4 linked regions of the Stegostoma tigrinum genome follow. The protein of the gene in region 1 purifies or fractionates together with the protein of each later gene. This does not show direct contact. Links are inferred from orthologs where the notes say so. Each region holds a gene or a part of one and is shown in the gene's direction. Other genes may lie near its edges. The genes, in order: mapk6, eci2, neurl4 and ech1.

Region 1 (6,889 bases):
GAGGAAACCTATGCAGACCCGGGGAGAACGTGCAAACTCCACACAGGCAGTTGCCCGAGGGTGGAAATGAACCCGGGTTTCCTGGTGCTGTGAAGCAGCAGTGCTAATACCCAGTTAGGATAGGAGAAACTTTGACTCTCAGAGAATGGTGAATCTGAGGAATTCTTTACTGCAGAGAGCTGTAGAGGCTAGATTGACAGGCAGCTTTTTAATCAGTAAGAGAATCAAGGAAAGTGGAGTTGAAGATTATTATATCAACCATGATCTCATTGAATGGGCTCAATGGGCTGAATAGACTATATCTCCTATATTTTATGGTCAAATGTCCTAAGTTGTAATGAATGCCTTCCGCAATACAAGACTTTGAAATATCTTGATTCAGTAGCGCTATTACTTAAACAAATGATTCAAACAGAATGTTGTATGTGAGAAGGTTCTCTACATAACTGAAGAGATGTATAGTTTGCAATATCCAGAGAGAGATCCTCCACCAACTATATAGACTGCCTGCACACTTCAGCCTCCATGTTAGGGAAACAAACCAGTCATGTGAACACAGAATGTGTGCTCTAGAATCTCACTGGTAATAGGATACTGCTAGTGTTAGCGCATCCAATCCCTTCCTTTGAATATTTCACTTTGATGTAGTTCAAACTGCTTTTGAACAAAACCCAATATCAAGCATTGTGAAACAAGCACTCATCCTATGTGAGATCCACGATAGTGTGAAAAATGACATCAAGAACAAAATAACTTGAAATAAAATAGGAGAAGGAGTCAACTAGATGGACCCTGAAGTCTGCTCCACTATTCAGTGTATTTGTGATTAATTTTGGATCTCCATTCAACTTTACAGCCATAAGATTCATCTCTTGATTTTCCTAGTGTTGGAGAATCTTTTTTTCTCAACCTTCAATATTGTCAGTGATTGAGCATTTACAACTCTTTACTTGTTGTCTCGATGCACCACACAGTGTGCTACCAGAGTGGGAAGAAAAATTGGTCACACCTTCTCACCCACAGATATACACCTTCTGTCAGCACCTCCTGGTGTGGAATTACCAATTATGTAGAGAACAAAACAGTTTACCTTGTGAAGTGTGGTGAACAGCAGGCAGGGTGGAGATGGATTTCTATCAAAGACAAACTGATGATGCAGCTTTTGATTCTCTTTATTTTCAGTAAGTCATCATCTTTAAAAGAATTGTTTTTTGTTTTAAAGATTGCTAATCTTCGATTCATAAGCCAAGAACATTGTACATCTGGGCAGCTGCTGTGGCCATGAAGTCAAAGAAATATTTGAACAGAAGAATAAAACCAGGACCATCCACATTCTGAAGACAAAACTAAATAAGATCAAAAGAATGAAGTGTGTTGGAAAACAATGTTTGAATTATTATTACAGTCCATTCTGTGCAAGACAAAGCTTCTAGACATAACTTTCATCTATTACCGGTTAACAATAGCTGTTCTCAACTTGAGCCAAATAATTGATGTTAGTACTAAACATGGTGAGGAACAGGGTACAGATTCATTGGAGTTGCATGCATTTCAGGAACAAATAAAGCTTCTGTCTACATGACTAGACCTGTACAGGGTTGACTGCTCCTCAAATGCACCTGTCAATTTGGATCAGATTATGTTATTTGGACCCTTTAGTTATGTGCCTCATTGTAGTTCACTCTTTTGTCTCAAAGAGGGATGGTGCTGACAGAAATCATTAGATCAAGTCATAGAGTCATACAGCATGGAAACAGACCCTTCACCCAACTAGGAGCAGCACAGTGGCTCAGTGGTTAGCACTGCTGATTCACAGTGCCAGCGACCCGGGTTTGATTCCACCTTTGGGTGACTGTCTATCTGGAGTTTGCACATTCTCCTTGTGCCTGTGTGGGTTTCCTCTAGGTACTTTGTTTCGTCCCACAGCCCAAAGATGTGCAGGCTAGGTGGATTGGCCATGCTAAATTGCCTGTAGTGTTCAGGGATGTGTAGATTAGGGGGATGGGTGTGGGTGGGATCCTCTGAGGGTTGGTGTTAACTTGCTGGGCCAAAGGCCCTGTTTTCACATGGTGGGGTTTCTATGATAGCCCATGCTGAACATAATCCCAAACTAAACTAGTCCCACCTGCCTGCTCCTGCATACACCTCCATTCCTTTCCTATTCATGCACTTATCCAAATGTCTTTCAAACATACTTGTACCCACATCCACCACATCCTCAGGGCATTCAGTCCACGCGCTAACTACCCTCTGCAGAAATAATTTGCCCCTCGTGATGTTTTTAAATCTCTCTCCTCTAACCTTAAAAATTTCACGTGCTCTAGTCTTGAAGTACCCTCAGGCAAGGTGATCTTTCCCAAATAAAATAAATGTACAAGGATAGCAGGCATTTACCGAGTTCAGTGATTTCTGAGCCATCAGAAAAACATTCTCCTCTAATGCCCCAAGTGGTGCTCATCTACTGAATGGCCTGAATTAGCAAGTTGTGCAATTCCTGCACTAAGGTACACACAGACAGAGATGAAGGTTGCCACCTTCTTGCTTTGCAATAACCTCTTAACACCATTCCTCATAAAATAGCACTGTTGGCCCATAGAATTCAGCATACACAGAAGCAGTGAAGGGTCTCGACCCGAAACATCAGCATTCCTGCTCCTCTGATGCCTGCTGTGTTCATCCAGCTCTAGACCATGTTATCTCAGGTTCTCCAGCATCTGCAGTTCCTACTATCTCTACACAGAAACAGGTCACTTGGCAAAACTGGTCTATGCGTCAACATGAGTCTGAGGAAAATATTTCCACAGAAGATCAATTGATGTCAAGTTAAGATAAACCCCTGTTACTGTCATACCTTACACGGACTCAAAGTGCGTGGGGATTGTCTCAGGGTTGGGTGCAGGAAGTAACAATCTATATATCTGCAAATTCCAAAAGCATAATCCTGCTGGCTACAACAATGTAATGATTACTCAGTGCACATCAAGCAGGCGCTGGAGTTCTCCATTATTGTTTCCGTGTATTCTGACACAGGCATATTTGGGATTGATTCTGAAACTGAAAGCCTTTATGCTGTCAAACTATCCAATTGCACGTTAGAAGATTTGTGAGAGCAAACTTGCATAGTCCACTGGCGCGTTTTGATGCTGTGTTGATGGGGGAGCATTTCAGTAGCTAAAATGTTGGGACAACATCCTCAATATATAGGGAATTGGGCAGTGCTTTGTAAACTTTTTATCTCATCATTTTTCTGGCACTCAGCACAGATTTATTCAACAGCATTCCTCCACTTTGTTTCTTTTGAATTTCCTCCTCACTTCTTTCTTGACAGCATTAACCTCAATATATTAGAAACACCATCAAGATGTTTGACTGTGGGCATCACAACGAAGCTCATAGCTGTCCTTCGCCCACATGCACACACAGTATTTACAGCTGAGCTTTCTGAATAGCAACATGGTTTAGGCACCATAGCTGCCCTTCCTGATCTTCTCCTCTGTGTTCATGAATCAGGCCAATGTTAATACTTTGGTTGGAATGAGCCAGCAGAGGAGCCCAGTACAAGCTTTTAATTGCACGATTGAGTCAGTGAACAACGGAAATGCTTCTCAATCTGAGCACAGTGCTCGTGGATTTTAGAGCTGCCATATTTCAGGGTGTTGAAAAAAATACAGTATAGAACTACTCCCAATATATTACCCTTTGCATCTCCATTCACTTATAACCTTTAATTATTAACTTGTGTTTCGCTAAAAGGTTCTTTAATATGCATTAACCTTTATAATTGTTCCAGTGGTGCATTTACACACTGACTTTAGACTCGCTTTCTTTGATAGGGGCTGATATTGTGAACTTGGTACAATCGCTCTGTAATTACCAAAGTGAAGCTCCCAGCAACTGGGGAATTTGTAATCACAGGCTACAGCATTTATGTGGCCTTCTGGTTCAACGGTGCAGAGTGTCGGTCTGCCTGGAGCTTTCACAGCAAAGTAAGTTGTTTTATGTCTTTTAATCATGAAATTTTGAATTGGACGTTCCTCTTCAGAATGATATCCGAAAGGCTTTTCATTGTTCATAAATGTTACGAACTACACATGTCATACATCCTGTGTTTCTTGTTGTCATTGTACTAAGGGTTCCATGAACTCCAACCCACATTAGGTTTCAAAGGCAACTCTCCAGTGAACTCAAAACTATTCTCTTACACTTTATGTGATGAAAGATAAATTGTGCATTTTTAGATATGGTCACTTCATCAAAAAGATTTTGGTTTCAAAGAAGGAGAGATAGTGTGTTGATCAGTATCATTTTCGCCACTGTTCATAGTCAGACCAGCACTAAGCTGGTATATATGTCCCTGTGAAGATCAGGTAACAAGGATGAAAATTACATTTCATGCTTGATTTTTTTATGTCAAGCTATCTTCCATAATTTACCTCACAGGATCACAGGGAACCTGAATATCTCAGTCCTTGTCTGTGTCCCTGGACTTACCTTCAGTGAATGCTTTTCATAATTTTAAACTAAAGAATGGTGCAGTTTTTTTTAGAAAGTAGGAAAAGGAAAGTCTTTTAGTTCTCTCTTCCTCATTATCTTTCTGTTTTTCTCCAAAAATATCTCTCTCTCTCCTGACTTCTCATTCAGATGCCCATAACTCAGTTGTGAACATAACAGCGAGGGCAGACGCACTAAAAAGCACAAACTTCATCACACTTAGCCTTATTCATGTCTAAGTTCCAACTCTGACTGCTTCCAGCAATATTCATTGGATACCAGTTAGGAATGGGAATCTTGGTTTACTAAGCCTGTTCTCTTTCCCAGACATCCCCTCCCCCACTGCATCCCAAAACCGGCCCAGCTCATCCCCACCTCCCTAACCTGTTCTTTCTCTCACCTATCCCCTCTTCCCACCTCAAGCCGCGCCTCCATTTCCCACCTACTAACTCCATCCCGCCTCCTTGACCTGTCCGTCCTCCCCGGACTGACCTATCCCCTCCCCACCTCCCCACCTATACTCTCCTCTCCACCTATCTTCTCCTCTATCCATCTTTGGTCCGCCTCCTCCTCTCTCCCTATTTATTTCAGAACCCTCTCCCCATCCCCCTCTCTGATGAAGGGTCTAGGCCTGAAATGTCAGCTTTTGTGCTCCCTAGATGCTGCTTGGCCTGCTGTGTTCATCCAGCTTCACACTTTGTTATCAGAGGAAGTGCACAGGCCCATGTAATGGGTTGCCAATGTGAAGGGAGAGCACAAAGAGGGTGATTTAATTGTTCTATCTCCAACAGTCATAGGTATTGAGACGAACAACTAATATTTTCAGTTCTTATTGCTTCCAAGGAAAGAACCTGCCCCCTCTCCTCCAATTCTAACTTGGTCAGTGTTCATGTCGGTTCCTGTGACCTCTGTAGAGATTTTCAAAAACAATTATTTATTTTACGATGAGCAAGATAGGTTCAATTTTACACAATGGCTAAAATATACAGCATTGGAGATTAATCTTTCTACTTCTTCCCATTGTTGTGAATGTTAGTCAATGCAAAATGAATATTGTGTGAATGCTTTACTTATGCTGTTTGTGTTGACATAGCACTTGCATTCAAGCAGAGACATGAAGACAACTGGTAGAAAGAAATGAATGCAAATGAAAAGGATAGCCACAGACACTTTTAATTGGGACATGTATATAACTTAATCCATCTCACCAAAATGGTGAAGCATATGGCTTGTGTAGACATATCATAACTTGAATATCAGCAACAGGAAAGGTGTTGAGTTTACATGGTGAATATTTCACTAAATTCAATGCTTTTTGGAGTCTGGAGCAACAGTCACCTTGTGCATAAGTGCAAAACATATTTTCAGATTAAGGAGATGTTTTTAGGCTCTCATCAATATGCTATTTCTTCCCATTTACTTCCTACAAATATAAATCTTTTAAGGTCTAACTTAAAGCACAGTTGGATGAGATGCCTGGTGTCCCAAGACTGACGCCTTTCCTTTTGTACAGTGAGGTACTTCAAATCTGTCTATTTGCTCCAATGAATTCCATTAAAATATTTATTTATGCCTACACAATGTCCCAGCAAAAATGTAAATCTACACATAACTTCAAGAATATTCAACATATGCAATTCATAATCGGACATTTGGATAATTTGTTTCGGGAGATCCGGAAACCCAGTTATTTACCAAAAGAATGGAGCCACATGATTTACTGTTTAGAACTAAGGTACTTTACTCTACACAAATCAAAGAACTTGAATATTAATAATTACTTTATCTCAAACAGTCAGTTATACTGAAAATATTAAAAGTACAATGAACACAGTCACCTGCACTCTGAACTAAAATTCTTAATATCTGTGCCATTTGACAATCACTCCAAAAGGCTCAAGTTGAATACTTATCATAAGTTGGAACAATAATCAGTTGGTCTGAGTACTATTTCAAAGTTTTATATAAGGGTTGTGATTTTTTGGGTCTTCTAATTACTTTGAGCAAAGTTGACCCTTCAAATTTCTTTCAATTGTTCCCATGGTTGTGGAGTCCAACCTTTTCTTCGCTAACATCTTAACCGGAGTCACTGATGATAGGAACTTTCCAGAAGCTAAAGTTCTTTAACTCTGAATCCATGCACCCGGGAACTCTCTCTCTCTCTCTCTCTCTCTCTCTCTCTCTTTCTCTCTCTCTCTCTTCTCAGCATGGTTATCACCTGAGATCCAACTCTCTGTTAATAGATTTCTTCTATTATCAAGGATTTTTAAACACTTTTAGCCAATGCACAGAATTTCAACTGAACTGTGTTTGAAAGAAATGTGCTCTGCAACTAACTTATTCTAGATTAAGTGGCCTGAGAGCAGATCCAAACCCAGGAAATTACTATGCTGCTCCC
Region 2 (7,080 bases), on another chromosome or scaffold:
ATGGGGCATTTAAAATAATACAAAAATTAAAACCTAACTTAATGTGATAAAGCATCATCATCTCCTAGATGTAGGAATTTGCTGATGCCTGGAAAAGCAGATGATCACGTAAAATTATTCAAACTATATATTATATCTTGTTCTTGAATGAACAATGCCACTACAGACCCATCTGAAAAATATACAATTCTTCTTAAAATTAAAGAAAAGGATATTATTCCTGAACAGCCACAATCGCATAACCACAGGATAGTCTTTTTAAAGTGATACAGTAGACTACCACGTGAGGATGGGATGGCTACTGCTATTTCCTGAAAGTCATGAGGTGAACCACTGGATTTTCAAGACTCAGCAGTTGACATCTTATCCTCTGCCAGTAGCTCACAATTTCTGATTTATTCAATTCAATTTCTCAAAACTTGCTGGGAATAGAATTTCAATTCATCACTTCCAGGTCACTGTCCTGTGTCATAGCCACCATACCCTAACATATGCATAGTTCCTTGGAAAAGAAATTTGTCATTTACATTTGGAAAAATGTTACTATTTTGTGCAAGATTCAAAACAGACTAAAATGGAAATGGAAACAACTATAATTGGCATAAGCCTAGCACTCAAGATTTACAGAACAAATAAATACTGTATGGGAATACAAACAAAATTTCAAGTCCTTATCAGTACTAAGCATTGCTTCATCATGATGGGAAATTGCAGTGAAATCTCTCCTCCATTACTTGCTTTTTGGGTTGCATAATTATCAAGCTGTGGAAGACGTGTGGATAATTATGATTACAAGTTTAAGGTGGTCTTTTTTTTGGTATTACTAATGTAATTGAGTACAACCAATGTTACAGCCCAGTGAATTTAGACTATAGTCATCACACTGGAGAAAAACAAAAGTACAACTTCATTACAAGATTAACAATTTTGCGAAACTCAACAGAAGGATGGCACTCAAATTGCATTTATATTGAGAGCAAAACAATGCATCTGAACTGAACCCAAATATCACCACCTGCACGTACCTTTCAGTTGCACAACGATGGAATCAATTATGAAATGATTTCCAAAGAACTTGATGCAACCCAACAAGAAAAATTTTTGCACTATACTGCACTGATTACTGCTGAAACTGACTAACAAAGCCATCCAAACTCTACAATTGATTGAGTACATAAAAATCAGAGGATTCGAAATCAGATTAATTCAATATATCCTGGCAATATATTAACTGAAAAATGACACATGAATACACAAAATATTGTGAATAAACTATTTTAATTGTATGTTAACAAAAGCTCTTTGGAACCCAAGCAAAAATCCAACAAATGTGTCTTGGAGGCAGCAGGGGGATTTTAAAAAAAAAATCTGAATTTTAATGATGCACATCTCAAACAGTATTAATAACCCTGGTGGACTTAACGGTTCAACTTTACAGAGATAACATTGGCAACGTTGAATTCTGCATTTGGTAATTTTGTCTCTTCAGCCAGTATTTACCCAGGACTTTTGTTCATTATCAATGTATTTGCCACTAAAATGAATGAATTACTACCAGTGCCAGATTATTAGTGTGTTTACCAAAAAACAAACAAACAATTTGATCCAATTACAGTTAGAAGTTATTCTGCAACTTATCAGTATAGTCACTGACCATTTTGAAGGGATACACCAAAAAACTGTAAAACATTTTAACATTGCAAGAACTCCAAAGATAAAAGGTAATTGACTAAGATTGGTCCAATAAAAAGAGCTTTTTGCAACATTTCTGGAACAATCAAAATGAACTTCTGATAAACATATATCGGCCATTTGAAAACTATTCACATTGGAAGCTCATACTTAAGTTTGACAAAAAAAATGCAAGAAAGTAATCCATTGTTCCTTCTGTTCTTGAAACTTGTGAAAGTTAGAAGAAAAAGTCATTATTAAACTAAAATGCTCCCAACCTTAAAAAAAGGTTATTGTATTGCATACTTACAATTTCAAAAATAATTTCCTTAACAGTTCAAAATCCAAACAATTAAGTTTTGAACACAGAAGTGTGAAGCATCAAAATTGGCCAATAATCACAACTTTTCTTGCGAGAGAAACAAAAATCAGATCACTGCCAGTGAAGTAGTTATGTCAAGTCATGAATTGATTATTCAATCAATCCAAGCTCTTGCTCCATTTACTTCTGTCATTCTTTATGTAAAAAATATCAGTTAGGTACAGTAAAATAACCACCTATGCAGGTGTTTCCAAACTATCCTCATAGTAATGAAGTTTATTTGCTAGAGTGTTTGAAATTCTAGCTTTCAGTCATACTGAAGCTCCCCTCCAAACCTCAGCCAACTGTCATCAAAACACAGACTGGAACATCAGACAACGTTTCAACTGCCAAAATTACTATACAATACACTACATCCACCAAAGCTTTCAATATCTTACAGATCCTACTCACAATGAGGATAAATATAGTTTTTTTTTGAAAAAAAAAGACTCCTTCCCCCCTCCAAATGCACCCTCAAATGCATATAAAGCTCAGTTGTTATCCTGGCTTGAGCTTATTGCTATTTTTCCTAGGCTCACTGACAAATAAAAATCTGATCAAGGACTACTTGTCAAACATCTGAAGATCTAGAGAGCTTCTAAAATGTAGGGGCTGAACTCTTTCCTCACAAGAACTTATCACTCTAAATAATTTTCAAACTTAGGTCTTGACCTGCACATTACTTGATTGGCAAGTTCTCTCATACCATAGAGAAATATGCAAACAGGGAAGGGAGAGAAAAAAGTAGACATGGAAGTCTGAAAGATACAAACCCCCCCCAAAAAAGACGAGATGAACCTGGACTGATCTACGTTGTAAACTAGACAAGGACAGCCATCTCAACAAGTGTAGCTTGTACAATACATTACTCATTGAACTCTTAAGCCCCAAAAACACCCACTTGAACTATATTACAGAAAAAAACCCGAAGAAAGACCTTGCTCCTAGTTTATGGAACGTTGATGGAATCTGTAAAGACAACCAATCACCCATAAGAGATAAAACAAATTGCAATCAACAAATACCTACTTCATCCAATGTAAGCCTGGAGTGGTTGAGAAGTACATAAAGTCACCGTTTAAATAAAAAAAAAAGCCTCTACCCTTCAAACGGAAAAAAGGTGAAGCCCGAGTTTTGGGATCCTTGTCTTCGTTTACAGTGCGTTGCGACATAGCTGAGGACGGCACTAGTTGTGAGAGCATAAGCCAGCAGTAAATAGTTAGAACCCGTCTCTCTTACACTTAGCCACATAGTCTAGTGCCTTATACATAACACGGCTGGGGAGGCCAATCACCAACACTGTGTAGACCAAAAGTCAAGTCTCCCTTCAAAAGGTGATTTCAAACAACTCTGTCTTCAACCCACTTCCACCCCTACCTACCTCCCTCCCTCCCCTCCTCAACCATTTCTCCCTCCTTCCCTCCTCCACGTCCGGACGCGTGCGCACCCACATACCGGGTATACTCACTCCAGCAAAAGCTGGGGACTCGGATCGCCATATCACTCCGGGTTCAAAGGAGGAAGCGGCAGAGAAGAAGTGGGGATGTTAGGAAAAGGTTGAAAGGGGTTAAAGAGGTTGATGAGTAAGTAAGAGTCGGAAACCCCTTAAATCACACCTATTTTTTCCCCCTCTCCCCATACCTCATATAGTTCCTCCGATGCCATAATCGTACTGCCAAATAGCTCGAATCAAGTAAGAAAGAATCACTTTCCAACCCCCTGTGGTCTGGATGCCTGGCCTCCTTTTAACTCCGGGAGGGAGGAGAGAGAAGGGGGAGAACTGCCAGTGCGCAACTCGCTCTGCGCAGCAGGGAGCTCGCGCTGGTCCATGAGGGAGAGCGGAAGTTGTACTTTCTTTCCTCCCTCTCTGTCGCGCACTCCCTCGCGAGCGTGCTCGTACTCGTCGTGCTTGGGGGTGTGCGAGCGGGCGAGCTAGCGAAACGGTTAAAGAGCGAGCTCTATGAAAGATCTGTCATTAGAAAAAGATCAACCTAATTTGCTACATGGGGACTCAGGCGGGGCGTTGTGACGTCAGAGAGCTCCGTCCGGACCTGGGCCGCCACCGCTTTGGAGCCGGCGCGTGCCCCGAGAGCTCTTTGACGTTGGCGACTTGGCGGGCGCGAGCGCGCGGCGACAAGCGGCAGCGAGAGGGCGGGTTTTGGATGATCCGTCAAGTTCGGCTGAACGGAAAGGGGGCGTAGCGAGGGCAAAAGTCCAAGTGGTCGGACAACGCATGTTTGACACTACGGCCCAGTGTTGGGGGAACTGTTTTGGATGGCTGCTGCATTCTTCACCTTGCCGGCTCGGTGGCAGTTGACGAAGACGCTCAGGTGAGGTTGTTCGTCCGATGCGAGCTGGGCACCGGTCCAGTTTTTACGCCGCTGCTCAGCTTTGACTACTGTCAACATAACGTCTAGCTCTTCTGAAATCAACAGTTTGAGTTGACTAGACAAGTTGAATTATTGCAGTGACTCGGGCCTCAGTTTCATATTGTCTCAAGTTGAAGCTTTTTCAATATCATTTGAGGTTGATGCAAAAATCTTCAAACTGGCCTGTCAACAGTTGAGTGATCCTTAATCAAAAGCCACGATCCCTGTGTTCGCAGAATTGATCTTTACATTGTTCATTTTCGAATGCACAGGTCTATAGTCCAATTCTACAACTGAATGCAGCAAAAAGTGAAGGACGTTATTTAGCCAACGTTTGGCTAAGTGTGGTCTTAGGCTCTGAACAGAGATCTTTACCCTCCACATACATTGAAGAATGTGTTGAGATTACAGGGTAATTAACTCTCAATCTGGCATCGTAACACTTTTAAATTGTTTCCTAGCTATGGATGATACTTGAAGACATGCATCAGTCCACTGTTCCTCGTTTGTCTTGTAGAATTTCTCTCTGAAGTTGGCCACATAATGTGACAGTCCAAAGTTCAGTAGAATTCTAGAAAATTGTGCAAATTATTACTCCTCGTGATCATGCTTTCTTCCTATAATGTCATTACCCCTGCAACCCAAACTCTGTCATCAAATCATGACTTTAAATATTGCCGGTTTCACTCCCTCCCCCTCCCCCCCCCCCCCCCCACCGACACACACACACACACACACACACACACACACACACACACACACACAGTTCTTGCAGATGCTGTGTGCTGTGGGTCTAGCCTGGCTTTGGAATGTGAAAAATTTCTAATGCACATAGAATTTTTAAATTACTAAAGAGTTGAAACCAAGAAACTTAATATCCTCTTCAAAGCCAAGTGCTTCACTTTTCTTCAACATTTAATGCAAAAGTTCAAATTCTGAAAAGAATTATTTTGCTCTCCTGTAACCAATTCTGGCCAGTCTTTATAAACCAAAAAGGTACTGACTGTACAGTCATGTCACATCATTTTACAGAGCAGAAAGTCAAGTTAACCCATCAAATCTGTTTTGCTGTTTTTCTTCATATCTATTAACTTTTAGTATTCCTCTATATAAGCAACTAACTAACTTTCTTTTCAAAGAATGTGCACACTCTACAGAAAAACTTATGAGAGGTCATTCACATTCTAGCATCTGTGTAAAAGAATTTTTTTCTCATTGTCTGTCTGAATAATTTTTAAGATCTCATTTATTACTATTCACAACCATCTTGCCAAGAAGAAACAATCTTGTCCCTGTAGTACTGGGCTGAAGCAACTCGTCATACTCCAGAAACATTTGGATGTTAACCAAAGAGGGTTCTATTTGATGGGTCAAGTGGCCTTGGAAATAAACAAAGAACCCTCAGGATGATATAGATGAGAGCACAGTGTACATTTCTTGACTGTAATCGGTATAATATTCTGTGCTGTTGAAGTTGTGAAGTGCAGTCATTTGCAACTTTCAAAGATTTGTCTGTGTACTGGAATAATACCTTTACTGAAGATGATACAGAGCCAAATTGTTAATCATTAAGCTGCTTTTAGAAAAATACATTTATGGTGGTTAAGGTGCTGTCCTGATTCAGCATCATTATTGGAGTAGCATTGTCACAAAGACTGCAGGACTTAAGTGAAGACCTGTCACCACTACAGGACAACCTAAGGATGGCAATTATGACACCTTGCAAATATAATCCATTACCAGAGAACTTAAAAACTGTAGGATTCGTAGATTGAGAGCTAATTACCATGTTAAAATTGTGACTTGGCCTGTTATTTCAAAATCTAAATTATTCTGTCAGCAAGGAAAATATTGGTACCACCTTACATCACATATCCCTGATGTGTAGCTGTATTCCCTTAATTACATATCTTTGTATGGCTTGCTAATATGTCCTTTTTAAATTTTGAGTTCTCTACCACAGAGGGTGAGGCAGCTCAGTCTTTGAGTAAAATAGATTTAAGATAGATTTCAATGTATTTCTAATTACCGATGGCATACAGGGTTTTGGGGATGCTGGTAGTAAAGACATTACAATCATTTCTGATTAATAACACGAATGAATGGTGAGCAGGCTTGATGTAATGAATGGCCTGCACCTGTTCCTAATTTCTAAGGACTAGAATTGCAAGATGTGATGCCAACACCAGTATTTGGATTCAGGTCGGATTTCAGTTTTATTCAATAATTTCAAGACTTTATTGAATAAAAATGTATATTATTACCAAAACCAGAAGCAGACAATGTCACTCTTGTCCAACTACTCCAAAGGCCACAACATAAAATAAAAACTTGTGCTGTTGTCTCAATTTTGTTAGCTTTCTTCATATCTGCTTTTAACTTTACTTCAAACTTCTCAGCCAATTAGCCTAATCTTGATTTTTCTTTGCCAGTCATTTGATGCAAACTTTCCCCACCTAGAAAGGTCTTGGCAACTTCAAGTTATTTTTATAGATATGCACAAGAAACCTGGTGTATTTCCTTTTATCCTGTTATTGTAATTGAAGTATTGTATTAATAATGTCTTTGTTGGGTATCCAGCTGCAAACTGCCACTTGAGTGTTATGAACAAGGCTAGAGGAGAGCACACTTCTTCCAGTACCCCATTGGCTACAACAATACTTCCACAGTTACTGA
Region 3 (7,004 bases), on another chromosome or scaffold:
CCATCAAGGTTGACACACTGAAAGAATCAAAAGGCAGAGTATTCATAGAATCCCTACAGTGTGGAAGTAGACCATTCAGCCCATCGGGTCCACACCAACCCTCCAAGAGCACCCAGACCCTCGTTCCTATCCCTACAGACCTGCATTTCCCATGGCTAATCCACTCAGCACATCCGTGGACACTGTGGGAAATTTAGCATTGTCAATACACTAAACCTGCACATCTTTGGACTGTGGGAGGAAACCGGAACACCCAGAGGAAACGCGTACTGAAAAGGGTAGAATGCACAAACTCAGTACAGACAGTCACCCAAGGGTGGAAGCAAACCCAGGTCCCTGCTGCTGTGAAGACAGCAGTACTAGTCAACGAGCCACCATGCCGTGCTGCTCAACAGAAAATAACTTTAGAACTCTGGATAGGTAGCTATATCTTGGTATTTTAGTCCAGAAGTCACAAGACTTTAGTATCTAGGTACAACATGTAACCGATAAAGCTAATGGAATGCTATGCTTTATTACCAGGGAAATTCAATATAAAAGTTTGAATGTTATGCTTCTGTTAAACAGGGCATAGGTGAGACCACATCTCAAATACTACATTCAGTTTTGGTCTCCTTATTTAAGGAAGGATTAAATGCATTGGAGACTGTTCAGTGGAGATTTACTCTTGAGAGCTGGACCAAGTTGTTTTACGAGGATTGGTTAGATGGGCCAGTCTTGCTTCCACTGGAGTTTAGCAGAGTGAGGAGTGACTTGATTGAAAGATATAAGATACTAAATGGTTTTGACAAAGAGAACATGGAAAAGATGTCTCCTCTTGTGATTAGGGGCCACTGTTTTAGGACTGTTTTACACTTAAAGAAAAGTAAGTTCATATTTGACAGTCAACATGACTTTGCCAATAGCAGGTCATGTCTGACAAATTTAATTGAGTTCCTTAACAAGGTGATCCAGGCAGCAGATGAAGGCAGTGCTGTGGATGTTGTATATTTGGACATTAGAAAGTATTCGATATGGTGCCACATGCCAGGATGGTTAGCAAATTAGAAATGTTTGGTATTGATGGAATCTTGCAGCATGGATTAGAATTTAGCTAAAAGGTAGGAGCAAGAGGGTAAAGTGGGCATATTGCAGATTGGAGACAAGTTGAAAGTGATGTATCTCAGGCATCAGTGTTGGGACCCTTGCCTTTTCTGATTTAAAAGAACAATTTGGAGATAGGTGTTGAGGGAAAAATCTCTAAATTTGCACATGATACTAACTGAGGTAGAATAGTGAATTAGAGGATGACATTGAGCGGCTTCGCAGAGATATTGGCAAGTTTTCCAAATATGCAATACCTGAATTTCAATGCAGAGTAATGCAAGATAGTGCACTTTGACAGAGGAGACAGGGTGAGACAGTATGGGCTCAAAGGTACAACTTTGAAGGGAATACAGGAGCAGCGGGACCTCGGGGTTCACATGTATAATTCTCTGAAGATGGCCAGACAAGTTGGAGCAGTTGTTACTAAGGCTTATAGGAGTCTTGACTTTATAAAAAGAAGTATAGCATAGAAAAGGAAGGAACTGATGCTACACCTCTACAAATCATTGATCAGACCAAATTAAGAGGACTGTGCTTAGTCCTGGCACTTTATTTAAGGAAGGACATTAAAGGTCTGGAAAGAGTGCAAAGGAGATTTGCTAGAATGATACCAGGAATTAGGAATTTTAGATACAAGATAAGATTAGAGAAATCTGGCTTATGCTACATGGAGCAGAGAAGATTAAGATATGACCTTATTGAAGTGTTAAAATTTATGAATAATTTTGACAGAATAAAGAAGCATATTCTGTTTCCACTGGTTGGTATGTCAGTAACAACAATTTCAAAATTGTCAGCAAGGTGGCTTGGAGTGAGATGAGGAGAAAATCTTTATTCAGTGTTGTTAGGATTTAGAATGAGCTGCCTGGAAGAGTGGTGGAGGTGGAGATGGAGAGCTCTGGAGAATGAAACTAGCTGGGTAGATCTCTCAGGGATGGATAGACCAACTAGTGGGGGACATAGGTGGAGCTAGAGAGTTATGAAGCTTGGCAAAGCAGGTGGAGCAACACGCAGAATGGGAGTGGATAGGAGGAACAGACAGAACAATGGCAAGGTCAACAGGCAGAGGGAGGGCACCGGCAAGGCAGAGGGGGAGGGCACCAGAAAAGAGTGAGAGTTATCCAGTTTATGCCTTAACTGACTTATGGGTAGCATAGGATTGAAGATTCCCTGGATTGATTAATAGGCTGTGGGCAAGGTCCTGCGAGGAATGATTGAGTGAGTTGCACCCACATTCTTTGCAGATGATCTCAACCTGATCCCTTGGATACTGAAATTATTCTACGTGTATAATTTGAACAGACAGATCCAATATATTTGAGTTTAGAAGAATGAGCAGAGATCTAATTAAAATGGATAAAATTCTTCGAGAAGGAAGAATGCTCCCCAGCCAGGGGAGAAACACAAAAACATGGAGAAAGAGTCTTTGAATAATTAGTCGTCATCTCCCAGATTGGCATAAAGGTCGATATGAGCCAAATGGCTTCCCCTGTGTTCCTTTGTCCAACGGTCTCGAGCACTTTTGTCCCAGAGGCCTGCAAAATTCTTGTGCACTCCCCTTCTGGAAAGCCCAGTTGGATCTGCTTAAGCTGCCCTTTCAGGCATCTACCAGATCATAACAATAACAACACAGCATTCTGATATAACAACAGCACATATCCCAGGGAGCCAGTGACAGCATGACACATGCAGATTTTTCTGTTGAGCATTTTGCCAGATTGTCCCGCCCTGATCTACCTGCCAGACATTGTGTGAGCACACTCACACTTCCTTCCCAGCACTTCTACCTTGTCGTTTCCGTGCTCTCTCCTTCATGATGTGCTGGTGAAGAGCTCGCGCCATCGCGCTCGACATCTTGGGTCGTTCCAGTAGGGCGGGCATCGTCTCTGTTTCAGAAGGATCCAGACACTAGAACCTAAAACAGGTGAGAAAAAGCCATAAATCAGCTTTGTGTGAGGTACAGAATCGCAAGAGTAAATCTGGAAAACCTACAGTCACCACACTGTTTCCCAAGACCACCCGGTGTAGCACAGCTAACTAGAACTCCTAAAAGTTCCCCTCTGAAACACTTGACTTGGACCTACAGTGCTGTTTCCTCACAGCAACTGGGTCACACTTCCCACTTTCCCTTAACAGCACTGTCCCTATACTTCAGGGACTGCAGCAGTTTAAGGTGGCGTCTCACCACCACGGCAAATAGGGATGACCAGTAAATGCTGGCTCGGCTAGTGAAGCCCACACTTTACACAGAACGTACCACAAACAAATAACTCCGGATCAACCAGTCAATACCATTCTGTTTCGCTTGAAACCCAGAATGAGCCACAGCCAGAGCCATACTGGATTAGACCCCAGGAGGACAAGAGGCCAGGCTTCCCACAGATTGCATTCTCTTTCAAAACACGCTGGCTACACATAGGGTGCTGTGCTCTCCCCAAATCTCCCTGTTCTTCCCGGATTCTCAAGAACTGTGCCCCATTCCCTCCACTCTCATCGGTATGTCCTCCCTTCTCCATTTCCCTCTCACTGTTCTACCCAACCACTTCCACAAACACCCCTCCCACCTACCCTTCTCCTCTCTCCACGGGTCTTTTCCTTGATCTCCCCCACATCCCGCAGCTCCAGGTCCCCATCACCCTCACCCTGTTCTTCCCCTCACCATTCCCTGTTTCCAGGCCCCGGGCCGCTTTCCTCCTTTTCTCTCTCTCTTCTCTCTCTTTTCACTCCACCAACGCCATCACACTCCGCCCGCCCACCGTCAGATCCGCCCCGCAGCCGTAAAGCGAGACGGACGCTGAGAAGCGGGCGACGGCCTTGGCGCGCGACGGGATCGTAAAGCGGAGCCGCCGGTTTCCAGCGCGGAGGGGCGGTCAAATCAAACGGCGCTGCCGTCGTAAAGCGGATTTCGATACAGCTGCCCCGCAGCCGTCAAGCGGGTTAGTCTCCCCGGCCCTGTTACTCCTTTAGGACCCGGTTGAGAAGGCTGTCGTGGAGCAGGAGCGGGCTGAGGAGGGGGCGGTAAGCCCCTCTCTCCGCTCTCGGAATGGCGGCCGAGTTCCACCTGAGGACCGGCAAGTTGGTGGCGTTGCTGAACGGCAACCGCACGGCCAAGCGTAACAAGCCGACCGAGGAGTTCAACCACGGGCTGGCGATGAGCCGAGAGCCGCTGGGGGACGGGCAGCTCTTCCAGGTCCGGATCGACAGGAAGGTGAGTCCAGGGGGAGATGTAGATGTTTGTAACTCCACCCCCACCCTCACCCCCACCCCCACCCTCACCCTCACCCCCACCCTCACCCCCACCCCCACCCCCACCCCCACCCCCACCCTCACCCTCACCCCCACCCCCACCCTCACCCCCACCCCCACCCTCACCCCCACCCCCACCCCCACCCCCACCCCCACCCTCACCCTCACCCTCACCCCCACCCTCACCCTCACCCCCACCCTCATACCCAGGGGTAAGCTCAGTAAGAAACACCGGTGATTGAGGCCTACACCAGAAGGTGCACGGGAAGGGGAATCTCAGCAGGTAAAAAGGGGGAACACACCCCCCCCCCCAGCTTTAACATCGCTATAGCAGGTTTTGTGATTTTATTTTCTTAAATCATATTTAATCATAATTGCGACACCCCCCCCAAAAAAAAACATCGTGGATATCGCTAGAGGATTAAATGTAATGAGTGGAACTTGGTCCAGCAGAAAAAAGCTGGAGCTTGTCCCAATTTGCAGCAGAGAGGACCCTAAGCACCCCCTCTTCCCCCCCCCCCCCCCGGGCTGGTATTTGTCTGTCGGCTCGACGTGGCTTGTCAAGTAGCCCCCTGCCGTCCCCAGTTTTAAAAATTCAAAATCCCTCTCTGGTCATTTTGTAAAGGTTCCTCCCCAGCATGCCCTTGGACACCATCTCGAGGGTTCCCCCCCAGCCCCCAAGTGAAGGCAGCCCAATGTGATGGACAGTGCCAACTCCTGGCAAGGGCCAGGTGCAGAGGCGCCAGGGAATGGAACATTGGTAGAAGGTCCCGGAAGGGCGCAAAAGACTGGGCAGTGCTAGTGTAGAGAAGGAAACCAAGGTGATGCTTTGGTTCACTGGCCTGGTGCCACAGCTTTGTCAGTGGGACTGCACCATCTGGTTTCGAGGGCCCTTGTGTGCTCCATGTGATGGTTTGCACCAGATGTCAGCCATCAAATACTCTCAGAACAGGTACAGCACAGGGTTAGTTACAGGGTACTTGACTGTGTCTCCACTAAGCCCTCCCAAGACAAGGGTGACGTATGATTAGATACAAAGTGTTGCCTCTATGTTCTTCCAATCCAACACTCCCAGGGGAGGAACAGCACATGATTTCTCTAGTCTTTCAGACTGAAAATAAATAGAAAGTAAAGCTTGCTCAACATTGACCCTAACAAACATGTCTAGGATGGGGGCATCACAGGGTTACATAATGAGTGAGGCTGTCTGTACACTGTCCACATCAAACATTCCCAGCACAGGGCTAGATACAGAATATACTTCTACACTTTTAAACTGAAAGTAAAGCCCCCTCAACAACGTCTGCTTAAAACACCACAAGAAGAGATAAAGCAGGCGTTTTGGTGCAGAGTAAAGATCACAGTGGTTCAGTGGTTAGCACTGCTGTCTTCACAGTGCCAGGGACCTGGGTTCACTTTCACCTTCAGGCAACCTTGTGTATAGAATTTGCACATTCTCCCCATGTCTGCTTGAGTTTCCTCCCACAAAAATGAGCAGATTACGTGGATTGGCCATGCTAAATTGGACATAATGTCCAGAGACGTGCAGGCTAGGTGGATTAGACATGGGAAATGCAGGGTTAAGGCAGGAGGGTGGGTCTAGATGGGATGGTCTTCAGAGGGCCGCTGTTGGTGTGACAGGCCAAATGGCCTGCTTCCATGCTGTAGGGATTCTATGGTAAACTGAAATCAGAGCATCCTCTACGGTTTTAAAACTGAAACTAACACTTCCTCTACACTTAAAACTGAAAGGCACCTCCATCTGTGTCAAACGCTCCCGGGGCAGGAACAACAGAGGGTTAAGTACAGAGTAAAGCCATCTCCACTCTTTGAACTAAAAGTAAACTTTAAGTAATGGTCCACTGATGCCATCCCCATCAAACACTCTGGAACTGTGGCAGCACAGGGTTAAATGCAGAATAAACTCCTTCATTTTCAGTTATGAGTGGTGTACCACAAGGATCTGTTCTGGGTCCCCTTCTGTTTTTGACTTTTGTAAATGAACTGGGTGTAGGAGTGGAAGAGTGAATTAGTAAGTTTGCAGACGACATGAAGGTGGGTCAAATTGTAGATAGAACAGCCCTCCGCACTATGTTACAAAGGCACATTGATAGGATGCAGAGCTGAGCTGAGAAGTGGCAGATGGAGTTTAGCCCTGAAAAGTGTGAAATGGTTTATTTTGGAAGGACAAACTTGAAAATGGAACACAGGGTTAACGGAAAGATTCTTGGCAGCGTGGAGGAGCAGAGGGATCGTGGGGTTCATGTCCACGGTTCCATGAAAGCTGCCACCCAAGTGGATAGAGTTGTTAAGAAGGCATATGGTGTGTTAGCTTTCATTAATAGGGATTGAGTTCAAGAGCAGTGAAGTTATGCTCCAGTTATACAAAAACCTGGTTTGGCCACGTCTAGAATATTGTGTCCATTTCTGGTCACCTCATTACAGGAAAGATGTGGAAGCGTTGGAAAAGGTGCAGAGGAGATTTGCCAGGATGTTGCCTGGAATGGAGGGAAGGTCTTATGAGGAAAGGTTGAGAGAGCTAGGGCCTTTCTGTTTTTAGAACAACGAAGGATGAGAGGTGACTTGATAGAGGTGTACAAAATGATGAGAGGTATAGATAGTGTGGACAGCCTGAAACATTTTCCTCGGGTGGAGGTAGCTATTATGAGGGG
Region 4 (7,116 bases), on another chromosome or scaffold:
GAAGAAGATTTCCACTCAATGGTTGTGATTTTTATTTCTTAAAGCTGCTCCATGCTTCCCCATCTTGTTAATCTTACAGCCTTATCCACATACAGCCAAGTCTTAGTAGTGGTAACCATGTCACACCCTCCAAGTTGCATTCATGTCTACAATTGATCAATTTGGTATTTGCAGTTTAATGATCAACTATTTAGCCAGTGGTAAATTCACCACCTTCGATTGTCTGAACCAGTGTGATATGATTTTAAATAATGTTGACTATGTCAGTGCAACACCTTGATTTGAGAGGCTCCATGAAACCTCCAAGGTGACAAGTCAGGCAAGCAGTATGTCTAACTGGGAGTCTTGCTTTTTGTTAACGGGCAGTGACTTTCGGTTAAATAAAAGCAAACCTCCCAGTGACTATTGGTCACCATCTAGTAATGATTTGTCAGGCTGCACATAATGGTCAAGTGGGGATGTAATTTTTCAGCCCCAAAAAAAAAATTAACAGACGTGGTCTCTGCCATTTAATGTCGACCAACAACATTACTCTACTCTGACTTCTCGGTGGCCAATTAGGTACTGTGGCACAACCTTGTGGCCACTTGGTTTATTTTGGAAAAAAAATCAGCATGGTTACAACACAAGGTAATTGTTTAACTAAATTAAATCCTAAGTGCCTTAACTTCACTCATCCTGAAAACCTGAAAGGTCAGTTTTGTGCATGGCATTTTGATTCAGTTCTCTATGGAACCACTCTTGGTACTGTCCCATGAAAACACAGGTGATGTCACCTGTCCTTTTTGTGGCCTCATTCAAGTTGACTGTGTATTTACTTTCAGTTTGATATTCTGAAATCATTGCACTGTAGTACCACTTGGTTCAAATCAGGTGATCATTTTGCATAGAATTTGTGCTTACAAGCAGAACCCTGAGCTTCCAGGCATACTGTTTCAATTATCAATCTCTCTCTCTGACCTCTGTCCTTTAGTCTGAAAGTGCTAATGAAAGTTATCCATAAATTCAAGGGACAGCACTTTGCTTTTAAGTAATCACCCAACGAATATGTGGACTAAAGTGAGTTCTGCAGTGTGTGTAACTAGTTCAAAATGTTCTTTTAATAGTGTTAATAGTTCTGTTTGCACACTCACACCCTCTCCACATTTTGTCTAATGTGCAACAATTCATTCCTTTTGTCACTTTAATTTCATCTTCCACCTTCTCTCAGATCTTCCCTTTGTTACTTCACACCAACACTCTCTGCTTCTATACTTAAAGATGTTCCTAGTATTTTCTCATTCTGCCAAAAGTCCCATTGACCTGAAATATTAACTTTCCTCTTCCACAGAATAGAAGCAGCGTTGGACCGTTTGTCCCTTGGGAGCGAATCTGTCCTTCAGTACAATCACAGCAGATTTTAAACTTCAATTCTACCTTTTTGTCTTTCACCTTCCATCTTTCTCGATTGCCTGCATATCTAAATATTAGATGAGCCTTGAACATACTGAACTTGGACAGCCCTTTGAGTTGTAGCTGTAGGCTAGCTCCCGTATTGTGATTTCTGGCTGGTGAGGGTGGAGTTTTGAAGACCATAAGATACAACAGAAGTCCATTTCAGTTCATTTGAATCTGCTCCACTGTTCAACAAGATCATGGCTGATCTGATAATCCTTGACCATCCTTTTCCTCCATTTTCCCTAATACACTTCCCTTGCTGGTTTAAAAATCCCTCTGCCTCAAATATACTTATTGACCTGGCCTCCCCCCTCTCTGCTCTGAAGAATTCCATAGGTTTACTACCCTTTGAGATGAAATACTCATTTTTGCCCTAACTGGGTAATCCCTTACCATGGTATGCCTTCTAGTTCTAGACTCTCCCACATCTACCCTGTCAACTCCCCTAGGAATCTTGTATATTTCGATGAGTGCAGGCCTGAAATCCACAACACCTCATAAGATAATCCCTGCTGTACCTGAGAACAAGCTTGTGAACCTCCTAGATTGCCTCCAACGCCACGATATGCTTTCTTGGATGAGGGTCCTAAAGCTGTTGACTGTATGTTCTAGGTTGATCTGATGAGTGCCTTGTTGTTTTACCAAGACCTTTTTTTTGGACTCCATTGTATCTTACATTAAAGCTGCCTCTACCATATTACATCAGGTGCTGCCTAGGGCTAGAAGTTTATTCAGTTTAAGACACTTGCAGTGCAGTTATTTACCTGTTTCTCTGGCACTTTTAGGTCATTGAATCTTTTACTTAATTGTTCTACTTGTTAAACATTTTGGGCTTTTTCAGTCTTGCATTTCTTTCACACACTACTTTTGCATTGCTTTGACACATAAATACAATCTTGGCTGATCTTCCAACTCCATACCTTGTTTCTGCTTTTTCTTTCCCCCGTGCCATTGATTCCCTTTAGCTCTGCGAACTGTATCTGCCTCCTTAAACACTCAGTATTTTGGCCTCCGCTGCTTTCTGTGCACAAACAGTGGCATAACTTTTCTCATTGTACTTTTTTACTTTTAAGATTTTGTAGCTAGCTGTCTTCCTGACACTTCAGCCTTTGAATTTTAATAAAAAATTTTCCTCACTTTGATTTTACTTCCATTCAATGTTGCATTATTCTTTTATTTTGATACCATTTTTCATTTTCAAGTCTCCTCACTTAATCAGGGCAGTGAAAAATACATACTCCCATTGAGTAACTATTTCTTCCTTAACTCTGTCTCCAATTGAATGGAGTGGCTATGGGTCCCAGTTATACCTGCCTCTCTCGTAGGGTATGTAGAACATGTGTACTCGGCATATTTTCTCAACTCTTCATTAGTATGGCAATAACTGCATTATTGCTGCTTCCTGAGTTTGTCCCGAATTGGTAAAATAAATGTTAGTTTTCAGTATCCATATTTAACTTCATTTAGTCCATCCTTGCCCCTTCCTTGACTACTGTTTGCATTTCTGGGGATATGCTGTGCCCTTAAATCCATTACAAACCTACTAACTCCCACAGTCAGCTTGACTGTGTCAAGTCACTCTCCTCGACTCATTTGCATCTGTCTGAGGTCCAAGGCTGGGCTTGTAAGCACTGCTGCCTCACAGTACCAGAAGTTCACTTCCACTGTTGGGCAACTGTATGCAGTTTACACACCATCCCTGTTTCTTAGTGGGTTTCCTCTCATGGTGCAAAGATGTGAAGGTTAGATGGGTTTTTCATGTTAATTTTTCTGCACACTGCAGACATTGCTGGCTAGGTGGATTAGCTATGCGAAATGCAGGGTTACACAGCGATGGTAGGGGTAGCGTCTACGTGGACTTGGTGGGCTGAATGGCCTATGTCCACGTTGTAGGGATTTTTCTCTTCCCCGCCATCACTTCTAACACTTCCTCATCTCCATTCTCTCCCTTCTGACCCTACACTGCCTCTTGCAATTGCGTCTTCCCATCTCATTGTTCAAGGCCCAAACACCTTCCAGCTGAATCAGTGCTTTAAATTTCAATCTAGTCTACTGTTGCCTATTTACATGTGGTCTCTTTTACATTGGCGCAACCAAATGCAGGCTTGGTGACTGTTTAGCAGTGCACCTTATCTAAGAATGATCCTGCCCTTCCAATTGCTCGCCCTTTTCAACACCATCTTGCTGTCATTGCTGCAGTATGTTCCAATGAAGCTCATAACTAAATGGAGGAACAGAATCTCATTTCTACTTCCAAGCTTTCAATCAATTTTGATGATCACTTTTTAACCCCTTCCCCCCAACCCTAAGTTGTAATTATCCATTTTCTGTCAATATTACCATCCTCAGGCTCGAGGATACACGTTACCTCTATTCTTCTCTACCTCGTTTCTATTGGACATGTTGTGTGGTTTTATGGTGCAGCGACTATGCTGGGCTGTCGGTGGCGCTATATGCTGTACTACAACAGCGACTATGCCATGCTGTGGGTGGTGCTGTAGCCTGTACCGCAGTGACTCTGCCGGGCCGTGGGCGGCGCTGTACCCAGTACCGCAGTGACTGCCGGGCCGTGGGTGGCGCTGTACCGCAGTGACTCTGCCGGGCCGTGGGTGGCGCTGTACCGCAGTGACTGCCGGGCCGTGGGTGGCGCTGTACCGCAGTGACTGCCGGGCCGTGGGTGGCGCTGTACCGCAGTGACTCTGCCGGGCCGTGGGCGGCGCTGTATGTCACGGTCGCAGATTGCTGTTGCGGGGGGCTGATGGCTGGCCTGCTGTTTGCGGGATTGCGGAGCGGTTGTGAGTGAGTCCGGGGCTTTTGTGGCCGGAGGGCGGTATCTGGGGGACACGTCTGGTTCGTGTGCGGTTAAGCCGCCGGTTCAGCGCCTCCCAGGGTGAAGCGGACTTTAGTTTTGCGGAGGCGCCAGGAAGCCTTCGGAACCAAATAAAGTCCGTGCGAGTGGGGCACTATCCCTGGTTTGGGGGTTCAATCGGGCGGAAGGAGGCCATTCGGCCCACCGAGTCTGTACCGACCCTCCAAAGAGCTGACCACCCAGGCATGTGCAAACTGCCCGCTGTCGCCCGAGGCCGGAGTCGAACCTGGGCACTCCATACCGTGAGACAGTTAACTACTGTACAGTGCGGGGCAGATAAAAACATTGGGGTTTTTGTTAATGATCTGGGATTTTTAAAGAAAAGGAGAGTACACTGTGGGAGGGTGTGAGAGGAAGTTTACTGCTGCCTGGAAGAGCCTGGCAGTTGGCTAAGGCTGAAAGTCTTGACCTGCAACTTTCCTAGTAACAAGAGAATCTCAATCTCCCTCAGCATTCATGGCCTGGACAATAATTAGCAGAACCCACCATCCACAAGGCATAAGTCGAGTCAAATTCCATGAGTAATGGAATACCCCACACTTGCCTAGATGGCTGCAGCTTCAACAACACTCAAGGAGCTCGACACCGTCCAGGACAGAGCCTGGCACCACGTTCCAAATCCCTCCAGTACTGACACTTAGTAGCAGCAGCGTGCATTTCTTCCGGAATACGCTGCAGCAACTCTCCCAGACTGCAATGACTGCACCTTCCAAACCTACATCCTTTACCACCTGGAAGTGTCACCTGTAAGACTTGGAAATGTGTTGCTGTTCCTTCAGCATCAGTGAGTCAAAATTCTAGAAGTTGCTTCGATCAGTGTCCCTACGCCACACATAGACTACAGTGATTCAAGAAGGTGTGATGATGCTGTGGCTTTAAGATGTTATTTTGTCCTGGTTTCTTTTAAGAGAGAGATTGAATGAGAGGCTCTGAAGTGGTTAGTGAAGGCTGCTTGAGTAAACAACTTGGGAGACCTTGGATTTTGTTTTAAAAAACAGCTTGAATGTATGCAAGATAATAAAATGTGAGGCTGGATGAACACAACAGGCCCAGCAGCATCTCAGGAGCATAAAAGCTGACGTTTCGGGCCTAGACCCTTCATCAGCTCTCTGATGAAGGGTTTAGGCCCGAAACGTCAGCTTTTATGCTCCTGAGATGCTGCTGGGCCTGCTGTGTTCATCCAGCCTCACGTTTTATTATCATGGATTCTCCAGAATCTGCAGTTCCCATTATCATTGAACGTATGCAGCCAGCTCTCTCAGATCAGGATTTCTGGGTTTTGGTTTCTCAATAGCATCAGAAACTGTTGGGGTCTCAATTGAGTTGGAAGCTTCAGTAAATGTCTCCTGGCTGCTTTGAATTTTCTCTTGATGTTTCTTTCCTCCTGGATTGTGAGAATATATTTCTGAATTTCCCCTTTCACCAATGGTTGTGTTTGTGGGGTGTTACATATCGGAACAGTGAGTTAATAATAGTTACGCATCTGTTATTTGGTTAAGTCATCCAATAGAGCTACGTTATTATAAGTTCTTCATTTTGTTTGTATTTTAACTATAGGCTTTAAATAAATTTTTTTTTGCTTAATGTCAAATATTTATAGTCAGCACAGATTTGTGAAGGGAAGGTCGTGCCTCACAAACCTTATTGAGTTCTTTGAGAAGGTGACCAAACAGGTAGATGAGAGTAAACCGGTTGATGTGGTGTATATGGATTTCAGGAAGGCTGTCGATAAGGTTCCCCACAATAGGCTATTGTACAAAATGCGGAGGAATGGAATTGTGGGAGATATAGCAGTTTGGATGGGAAATTGGCTTGCTGAAAGAAGACAGAGGGTGGTAGTTGATGGGAAATGTTCATCCTGGAGACCAGTTACTAGTGGTGTACTGCAAGGGTCGGTGTTGGGTCCACTGCTGTTTGTCATTTTTATAAATGACCTGGATGAGAAGGATGGGTTAGTAAATTTGCAGATGACACTAAGGTAGGTGGAGTTGTGGACAGTGACGAAGGATGCTGTAGGTTGCAGAGAGACATAGATAAGCTGCAGAGCTGGGCTGAGAGGTGGCAAATGGAGTTTAATGCAGACAAGTGTGAGGTGATGCACTTTGGTAGGTGTAACCGGAAGGCAAAGTACTGGGCTAATGGTAAGATTCTTAGTAGTGTAGGTGAGCAGAGAGATCTCGGTGTCCATGTACACAGATCCTTGAAAGTTGCCACCCAGGTTGACAGGGCTGTTAAGAAGGCATACAGTGTTTTAGCTTTTATTAATAGAGGGATCGAGTTCCGGAACCAAGAGGTTATGGTGAAGCTGTACAAAACTCTGGTGCGGCCGCACTTGGAGTATTGTGTACAGTTCTGGTCACCACATTATAAGAAGGATGTGGAAGCTTTGGAAAGGGTGCAGAGGAGATTTACTAGGATGTTGCCTGGTATGGAGGGAAGGTCTTATGAGGAAAGGCTGAGGGACTTGAGGCTGTTTTCATTAGAGAGAAGAAGGTTGAGAGGTGACTTAATTGAAACATATAAAATAATCAGAGGGTTAGATAGGATGGATAGGGTGGTGACAGCGAGCATGAGGGGGCGTAGCTTTAAATTGAGGGGTGAAAGATATAGGACAAATGTCAGATGTAGTTTCTTTTCTCAGAGAGTAGTAAGGGAATGGAAGGCTTTGCCTGCAACAGTAGTAGATTCGCCAACTTTAGGTACATTTAAGTTGTCATTGGACAAGCATATGGACGTACATGGAATAGTGTAGGTTAGATGGGCTTGAGATCGGTATGACAGGTCGGCACAACATCGAGGGCCAAAGGGCC

Evidence for each region.
Region 2: the proteins of mapk6 (region 1) and eci2 purify together in Homo sapiens (affinity purification with mass spectrometry; 3 studies listed by BioGRID and IntAct, with this or other methods). This does not show direct contact. The link is inferred for Stegostoma tigrinum from reciprocal best matches to the Homo sapiens genes MAPK6 and ECI2.
Region 3: the proteins of mapk6 (region 1) and neurl4 purify together in Homo sapiens (affinity purification with mass spectrometry; 6 studies listed by BioGRID and IntAct, counting the BioPlex papers as one, with this or other methods). This does not show direct contact. The link is inferred for Stegostoma tigrinum from reciprocal best matches to the Homo sapiens genes MAPK6 and NEURL4.
Region 4: the proteins of mapk6 (region 1) and ech1 purify together in Homo sapiens (affinity purification with mass spectrometry; 3 studies listed by BioGRID and IntAct, with this or other methods). This does not show direct contact. The link is inferred for Stegostoma tigrinum from reciprocal best matches to the Homo sapiens genes MAPK6 and ECH1.

The regions. Positions count from the first base shown.
Region 1 is NC_081386.1:20,395,722-20,402,610, reverse strand, and holds the start of mapk6 (mitogen-activated protein kinase 6), read left to right. Parts: upstream 1-3,864; 5' UTR 3,865-3,986; intron 3,987-6,889. UniProt on the Homo sapiens protein: Atypical MAPK protein. Phosphorylates microtubule-associated protein 2 (MAP2) and MAPKAPK5.
Region 2 is NC_081355.1:11,868,826-11,875,905, forward strand, and holds the start of eci2 (enoyl-CoA delta isomerase 2, mitochondrial), read left to right. Parts: upstream 1-4,068; 5' UTR 4,069-4,309; coding exon 4,310-4,365; intron 4,366-7,080. Other genes in the region: cdyl (chromodomain Y-like protein), read right to left, coding at 3,677-3,700. UniProt on the Homo sapiens protein: Able to isomerize both 3-cis and 3-trans double bonds into the 2-trans form in a range of enoyl-CoA species. Has a preference for 3-trans substrates.
Region 3 is NC_081398.1:13,795,760-13,802,763, forward strand, and holds the start of neurl4 (neuralized-like protein 4), read left to right. Parts: upstream 1-3,987; 5' UTR 3,988-4,129; coding exon 4,130-4,294; intron 4,295-7,004. Other genes in the region: gps2 (G protein pathway suppressor 2), read right to left, coding at 2,874-2,967. UniProt on the Homo sapiens protein: Promotes CCP110 ubiquitination and proteasome-dependent degradation. By counteracting accumulation of CP110, maintains normal centriolar homeostasis and preventing formation of ectopic microtubular organizing centers.
Region 4 is NC_081392.1:7,501,284-7,508,399, reverse strand, and holds the start of ech1 (delta(3,5)-Delta(2,4)-dienoyl-CoA isomerase, mitochondrial), read left to right. Parts: upstream 1-4,109; 5' UTR 4,110-4,195; coding exon 4,196-4,232; exon of another isoform or gene 4,233-4,236; intron 4,237-4,262; exon of another isoform or gene 4,263-5,065; coding exon of another isoform or gene 5,066-5,090; intron 5,091-7,116. UniProt on the Homo sapiens protein: Isomerization of 3-trans,5-cis-dienoyl-CoA to 2-trans,4-trans-dienoyl-CoA.